Drosophila melanogaster: one gene and its partner. The protein of the gene in region 1 purifies or fractionates together with the protein of each later gene. This does not show direct contact. Each region holds a gene or a part of one and is shown on either strand. Other genes may lie near its edges. The genes, in order: ldbr and CG13484.

The links.
Region 2: the proteins of ldbr (region 1) and CG13484 purify together in Drosophila melanogaster (affinity purification with mass spectrometry, with the first as the bait; one large-scale study listed by BioGRID). This does not show direct contact.

What each region holds. Positions count from the first base shown.
Region 1 is NT_037436.4:8,119,863-8,124,187, forward strand, and holds ldbr (lariat debranching enzyme), read left to right. Parts: upstream 1-1,964; 5' UTR 1,965-2,056; coding exon 2,057-2,253; intron 2,254-2,308; coding exon 2,309-3,716; 3' UTR 3,717-3,753; downstream 3,754-4,325. Other genes in the region: msk (moleskin), read left to right, coding at 50-360, 416-888, 953-1,149; CG7550 (uncharacterized protein), read right to left, coding at 3,875-4,325. UniProt on the Drosophila melanogaster protein: Cleaves the 2'-5' phosphodiester linkage at the branch point of lariat intron pre-mRNAs after splicing and converts them into linear molecules that are subsequently degraded. It thereby facilitates ribonucleotide turnover.
Region 2 is NT_037436.4:14,051,754-14,055,221, reverse strand, and holds CG13484 (uncharacterized protein), read left to right. Parts: upstream 1-2,142; 5' UTR 2,143-2,225; coding exon 2,226-2,681; 3' UTR 2,682-2,794; downstream 2,795-3,468. Other genes in the region: Frl (Formin-like), read right to left, coding at 879-1,154; CG6833 (uncharacterized protein), read right to left, coding at 3,014-3,468.

The DNA of each region.
Region 1 (4,325 bases):
AACCTCGAATAACTATAATAATAATTATAATAATTATAATTTATTTTAGATGCTTACTAGTAGCCCTGGCGAGGATCCCGAGTGCCATGCCGCCAAACTGATGGAAGTGATTATCTTGCAGTGCAAGGGTCAAATCGACTCAGTGATACATATGTTCGTGGAGCTGGCTCTGTCCCGGTTAACACGTGAAGTTCAATCCTCAGAGCTGCGCACTATGTGCCTGCAAGTGGTAATCGCGGCACTCTACTATAATCCCCAGTTGCTGCTGTCCATTCTGGACAAAATGTCCCAGCAAAACAACGACTCTATCAGCGCGCACTTTATCAAGCAGTGGCTTCACGACACGGACTGTTTCCTAGGGTAAGAATGGACATGCTTTTTAATGATCTAGATAGTTTATTGTTACGTTTTCCAGCATCCACGATCGCAAACTTTGCGTCCTGGGTCTGTGCACCCTCATCTCGCTGGGCGAAGCCAAGCCCCAGGTTCTGAGCGAAGTGGCTGGAAAGATTGTGCCCGCACTTATTTTGCTTTTCGATGGTCTAAAACGCGCCTACGAGTCTCGTGCTCAGGAGGAAGAGGAAGATGAGGAGGAGGAGGACGGTGACGACTGTGAGGAGGCTCTGTCCAGTGACGAGGATGACATGGACGAAATGGCACCGGACTATCTGGATAAATTGGCCGAATTTGCCAAAACCAAGGGCAATGAGTCGGGCTTCGAAGTGAAAGCCGAAATCAAGGACGACGATGCTGACTCGGACGGTGACGCCGAGGAGTCTGTGGGTGATCTGAACGAGACTGGACTGGAGTCGTTTACCACGCCCATCGACGATGAGGAGAACGAAAGCGCCATCGATGAGTACTGGACGTTTAAGGAAGTTATTACTGGTAAGTTGTGCTGAATTTTGTACACCATTGGAAAACTAACTAATAACCTAATCTTCGCCATCAGCACTTTCTGCACAAGACCAAGCCTGGTATGCGCTGTTGACCTCCAACCTCACACCTGAGCAAGCCAAGGCGCTGCAAGAGGTGGTGGTGACGGCTGACCAACGCAAAGCCGCCAAGGAATCGAAGCTGATCGAGAAGCAAGGTGGCTTCGCCTTTCCGCAGACTGCCGTGCCCACGTCGTTTAAGTTCGGCTCCTAAGAAACTGAATTGACCAGATCACCAGACACTTGGTTCGATTTCTGACTTGATTGTTTCTCATATTCTTTCCAAAAATAACAAAAACATCAAACAAAATACATCTGGCATGCTGATGATGGCTTTGAAGGCATTCTCTTGGTTTTCGTACACTCCGTGTACCCATGTATGCTGCGACAATCGGTCGATTAATCAGATTAAAAAATCGATCGGTCGAGCGGCGACGAGACCGCACTATATTTATTGTAGATTTATATTTTATTTCCTATTTTGTGGCCAGGGCGGCCAACTAAATTATGATAACTTAAGTCCATTGTAAATCTTTGTATGTAAACGAAACGAAACGAAACGAAAAACAAACACGTCAGGACGAGAAGGTCTCATTAAATGAGATTGTGCCCACCAGCACGCCCCCGTAGAACTCCAAAAAAAAGTTGGCATCTAGGTCAGAGAATGAGAATTCAACGCAGAGCATTTCACATACATTTTCTTTATACACACATACACGTATATTCTGTACTAAATGAAGCGATATTTTTGAAAAATAAAAAAAAAAAATTTTTAACGTTTGAACTGGAGAAATCTTTTTCTTATTTGTGTACCTTTTTGTGAGGTATTTAAACCGTTCAGGGAACGAATTTTATAAGTACATCTAATATATATAATTATATTTAATAATGCTAAGTGCTGAAAGACTTTGTTTCCGGAAGATTTCAGCAGTTTAAATATTGGCGGTCATTAAGTAGAGTTATCGATAAGAGCGTCCATCCTGTCGTTCCCCAAAGACGTTTTCTCACACTGAATTGCCGATCGATAAGCGATATCAGAACGCGTTATTTGTTTGGACAACCGGTTGCATTTGTTTACAACCAAGTTTTATTTATAAAGTAGTAACTTACCTTTATTAACCATGAAAATAGCTGTCGAAGGATGTGCACATGGCGAGCTGGAACGAATATACGACACCATAGAGGGCATCGAAAAGGTTGGCGGCACCAAGATCGACTTGTTATTGTGCTGTGGCGATTTTCAGTCCACCCGGAATCTGGAGGATTTGCAGACGATGGCTGTACCAAAGAAGTACCTGGATATGTGCTCCTTTTACAAGTGAGTAGAGTTTCGACAGCTTGTGGATCAGGAGGTAATCCATTTATTTTTAAAGATACTACAGTGGCGAGCTGGTAGCACCAGTGCTGACCATATTCATTGGCGGCAACCATGAGGCCTCCAATTACCTGCAGGAGCTCCCATACGGCGGTTGGGTGGCTCCAAATATTTACTACCTTGGTTATGCCGGCGTCGTCAATGTAAACGGTGTTCGGATAGCTGGAATAAGCGGAATCTTCAAGGGTCACGACTTTTTGCGCGGCCATCACGAATTCCCTCCGTATACCGATTCCACGTGTCGCAGTGTCTACCATGTGCGGCAGCTAGAAGTCTTTCGGCTGAAACAAATTTCCGGGCGAGTTGATATTTTCCTGTCCCACGACTGGCCCACCGGCATCTATGAATACGGAAACAAGGCGCAACTGCTCCGCAAGAAACCATTTTTTGCTGCAGACATGGAAAGCGGGAAGCTGGGTAGCCAGCCACTGGAGGAGTTACTGAAAGCGGTCCAACCGGCCTACTGGTTTGCTGCCCATTTGCATTGCAAGTTTGCCGCTTTGGTGCCGCACAATCACAGCCAGAAGCTAGGAGATGCTGAATCTTCCTCTTCCAGCAGCAGCAGTGAAGATGAAGACGAGGAAAGGGAGAAGGTAAAGAAAGCTGCTCCTGTACCTCCACCATCCAAATCTGTTCCCGTGACCAAGTTTCTGGCTCTCGACAAATGCCTGCCACGTCGTGCTTTCCTGCAAGTGGTAGAGGTACCCAGTGACCCCATCGAAGGCACTCCCCGCCTGGAATACGACGCAGAGTGGCTAGCCATCTTGCACAGTACAAATCACTTGATTTCAGTGAAGGAGAATTATTATTACCTGCCCGGAAAAAAGGCGGGAGAGTTTACAGAGCGATCAAACTTTACCCCCACTGAAGAAGAACTAGAAGCAGTGACCGCAAAGTTTCAGAAACTTCAAGTCCCCGAGAACTTTGAGCGCACAGTGCCAGCTTTCGATCCCGCGGAGCAGTCTGATTATAAGCACATGTTTGTGGATCAACCCAAGGTTCAACTAAACCCCCAGAGCAATACGTTCTGTGCCACTCTGGGTATAGACGATCCGCTGTGCTTAGTTTTGTTGGCGAATGGCCTAGATCTGCCTGCGGTGGGAGCTACCGAATGCAAGGATAGGGAAACAAAAAGTTCTAAGCTGCAGGCGGTGGAAGAAGACGTGGCTGAACCATTGGTTACGCCAACTAAAAGGAAACTTAACTTATCCCTGCCAGCACCTACAACTGCAGCAGCTGATACCACCGATGAAAACGTGATAGACCTGCCCGAGGAGGAAGCTGAAGAAGCAATTATAGCAACGGAAACGCCTCATGTAGAGGAACCTGCATCAGTGCCCGCTAGTCCCAATGTGAAAAAACTTAAGCGACGCAATCAGAACATTTACCAAGCGCAAGAAGATTAAACCCAAACAAATTCCGTGAAAGCGGAGCGATTTATACAAAAAAAGGAGGCAATTTTATTTAAATAACACAGAAGATACTTGGCTGATACGATCAGCCAACGGTTGATTATGGGCAAATAAATAGGAGGGTGTTAGCTGCTGGGAAGCGAGATAACGACTCACTGTGTCCCGCTGGCATTATCGGCATAGACCTCGTCGGCGCACTGAAAAGCGGCCTGCATCACCGATTCGGGCGTGTCCACAACATCGCAATAGTATGTATCCGGTGATGGGATGCAGTGCAGCTGCACCTGGCTGCCCTCTGCCGTGGCGCGATAGAAGCGACACTGTCGCGGTCCATATGTTGGCATATCCGCATCGTATGGCGGACTAAGAATGTCGAAGAAAGCGGCTACGCCGCTACCAATTTGGGCAATCTGGTGGTAATTTCTCTTTCTAGGAGTCAATGTGGCACACGGACTAGCCGGCGTGACCAATTTGGGTTCCTCGACATTCACCTTCACCACTGTTTGATGGGGGTCATAGGTGAGCGGCTCATCCGGGCCTAACTGGTGCGAAAAGCTGTCCACCATTAGCTGACCCCAGATGCAGCGCAGCAGACCGAACATC
Region 2 (3,468 bases), 5.9 Mb from region 1:
AGATACAAACTCAGAGATACTCACAAACACCAGCGAACACTCACGTTTCCACAAGTGTGTGTGTGTGGCTGACAAAAATTCAAGCGAACAAGTCGCCGCACACTCGATGAGGTCATCAATCACATGCAACAAATGCGAGGGCGGAAAAAAACGGGCTGGGGCAGGAAGCCAATCCTTAAGCTTCTTTCTATATACCAGCTACTACATTCGCCAAGCAAACTCAATTTTTCAAATGGATTTTTGAACATAAACAAACATTTCTTCTAGTGTATTAAAAAATATCACCGATTCAGAAGAGGGGGTGTATTTGTTTCTAAACATTCGATTCGACTATTAAAGCTTAACAGCGTGAAAAAGATTTTTCCAGATAGATTTGTATTCTAGAACCATTTACGCATTTCCATTTATTTATTTAAATTTATTTCTTGATACCAAGCTGATCACCCAAAATAGCTTACTCGTTCATAAACAGAAATGTATATTAAAATCGTATGTTATACAAAATATATGTATGAAACATATTGTAAGCTAATAAATGAAAGGAATTTTATTTGCCAAAAACTATGCAATGCTTTTTGGAAAGGGATTGCTAGTTAATTAATTCTACAAGGCGTTATTTTTAAACTTGGCAGAAAGGAATTATATTTTTTAAATCTTTGAAGTATAAATGTATATTTGAAATATATTTCTTTGAGACTTTCCTGTCATTTAGGATTTGAATGGTACATGGAGCGTAAAATAGGTAAAAATAAATAAATAAATTTGTATATCTAAAATTTAGCAAATTATAATGAATTTAATGAAAGTATAAAATTGTTCTTTAAGCCATATTTTAATACCTAAGTTTTTTTTTTGTCATGGTATTCGGATTAACTTACCAGCACTTTGGCGAATCGTCGGTCCAGCTCATCTGTGGTGGGCATGGGTTGCTGGCTCCGGCTCCGCAGGCTCGGCTGCCTGACATGTTGGTACTGGGAACTGCAGCCGATGTCGTAGCGCAGATCCTGTTTCTGCAGCGTGCCGCTAGAGATGGAACCGTTGTGCTGGTGGCCATTGCGCATCGAGTGATGGTGCGCATGCGAATGGGGATGCTGCAGCTGCTCATCGGCGTCCACATCAGCGCTGGTGATGGTTCGCGATTTGACGGCGCCCATTATGGTGGCAAAGCGACCAGAGCCCGAAACCGAGCCGGAGACGGAGCCGCCTCCTCCTCCTCCTCCGCCGCCTCCTCCCCCTGGATCCTGTAATCCCCGGGATCCGGATCCTCCGCCGCCGATGGCGTCCTCGATGGTCGCCGCTTGGAGCGCAGTGCTAAGGGACAGCGAGAGGGTACCCCATACAGTCCGGCAAAGGGCACGCGTGCGTTCCGGGCAACTTGAAAGTTGCTCTTTGATTCCGTTGAAGATATCCAAAGCGGCTGCTGCCTGTTTCTCTGCTATCGAACGCTCAGAACAACTGGCCAATCGAAAGTGACTATTTTCCGGGCGTGTGTTTTCTTATTTTTGGTTGCCTTTTTTGTTTTTTGTTTAATTTATTTATTTTTTTTTTTTGTTTTGAAAGTAAGTGTAAAAAGTGCTGTGTTCCAAAATTTTGATAATTTAATTTACTTCTTTCTGACAATGTAAGCAAAAACACAATTTGTTGCTACTGTTGTTGCTGTTGTTGTTGCTGGTGGTGCAACGGCGGCACTCACACAGGCACACAGCCACTAGCACTCACACACACACACACCTACAGCAAGACACGGATGCAGGCACACAAACACAGACAAAGGACCAGATTTCGATGAAAGGCTCCTGCGGCAGGCGACGCCTCTTGTGCTTTGTTTGCAGGTTTTTCCGAGCGAGGGACGTGCGAATTGCTTGCAATTTGCCTTACACACCGCATTAGACTCGGTCTGTGGGCGATAAGTGTGGGAACCGAGAGCAACTGCAGTTAAATGCACTTTATTTTGCCGACCGACCGCACGACAACCGCGCTACACGAATATTCGGGACAGTGTGACCGAACTGGGTCTGCGCACGGAAACCAAAGACTGGCGGGAAAACACCCTAAATGTGCCGAAAACTGCGCTTAGCAAAGTTTTAAGCCAGTTGATTTAATTAATATGCATTTTTGTGGTAATTGCCAACGGTCGCACTTAAAATAAAAAAACATTTGTTTTACATTTCGGATCCAAGGAAATAAGCCATTATTGGCTTAAATAAGCTTTAACGACTGCAATCATGAGCACCCCTCGCAAGAACTATAACAACCTGCCGCCCTACTGCCCACAAGGCGGCCAGTACCCATCGCAGTCCGCGGATTACAGAGCGCAGCAATTCGGTGGCCAGCAGAAGCCACAAAATCCAAACGTTGGCTTCTACGAGGACAAACAGGGCCAGCAAAATGTTCCTCATTTCTACCAGAACAAATCCCCACAGGAGCCGCAGCGCCATCGGCCCTACGGTCAGGGCAGGAATTTCGGACGCGGCGGCAGCTTCAATCGCAGGAACCAACAGAACTGGGATCATCCGAGGAGCCACCAGAACAGGGAACAAAACCAGAGCGGCAGCTCCTTCGGCCAGTACTTTCATCCCTCCATGCTGGAGGATCCTTGGCGGGAGCTAATGGAACGGCACGAGGCCATCCACGGACCCAGTACTAGCCGAACTTCACCGAAAGAGGTGGCGGCTTCCTAAAATGTAGAATACAACACTAAGAGCTAGTTAAGCCCTGTAGGATAATTTCCCCAAAGCAAAGAAAGAATTTTAATTTTAGCTTTCCGATATTAAACAAAAGAATGTGTAAACATAAAAATGGTTTCATCATGAGATCCGAGCCTGCTTTTGAGTGGCACATTACGTGCTGAAAACCGCTCCGATGCCTTCAAGAAAGAACTATGGCTAAGGTTGTAACATTTTATACATTTAAGCAACAGTTTCACGTGAATGAAACCCGTGTGTATACTTAAAAATTTAAGACTACCGTAATGGAACACCCCTCAGTGCAATGGGGCTCCCCGAGTGAGCTGCTAATAGTGCTGCTGTTGATGCCGCTTCTTCTCCAGATACTTCTCCCAGTCGACGGCAACGCGATTGTAGATACCCATGGCGGCACGTGCATCCTCCACGGAATTATGCTCGCCCGTTTGGATCTCCTGACCCAGAACGGCCTTTGTCAGGCGTTTTAAGCTGGGCGTGTGGGTATTAGAGATGAGTTTGCACAGCGGCTTATAATGCGACGTATCACGAATGTCATGGAACGGATGGCGGATGCCCAGTACGGCAAGATCGTTGCGCAGGCCGTGTCCCACCAGAATGCGGCCATGTATCAGCTTCATCACTTCGTTTTGCACGGCGGCAAAGTCCTCACCGTTAGCGATGTCCTGCGGCCGAATGCCGGACACGCTGGTGCGGTAGTCGGTGACCTCCTTTCGCGGCTTCACATACTTGTCCAGCAGCACGTGTCCCATGCGATTCACGATGG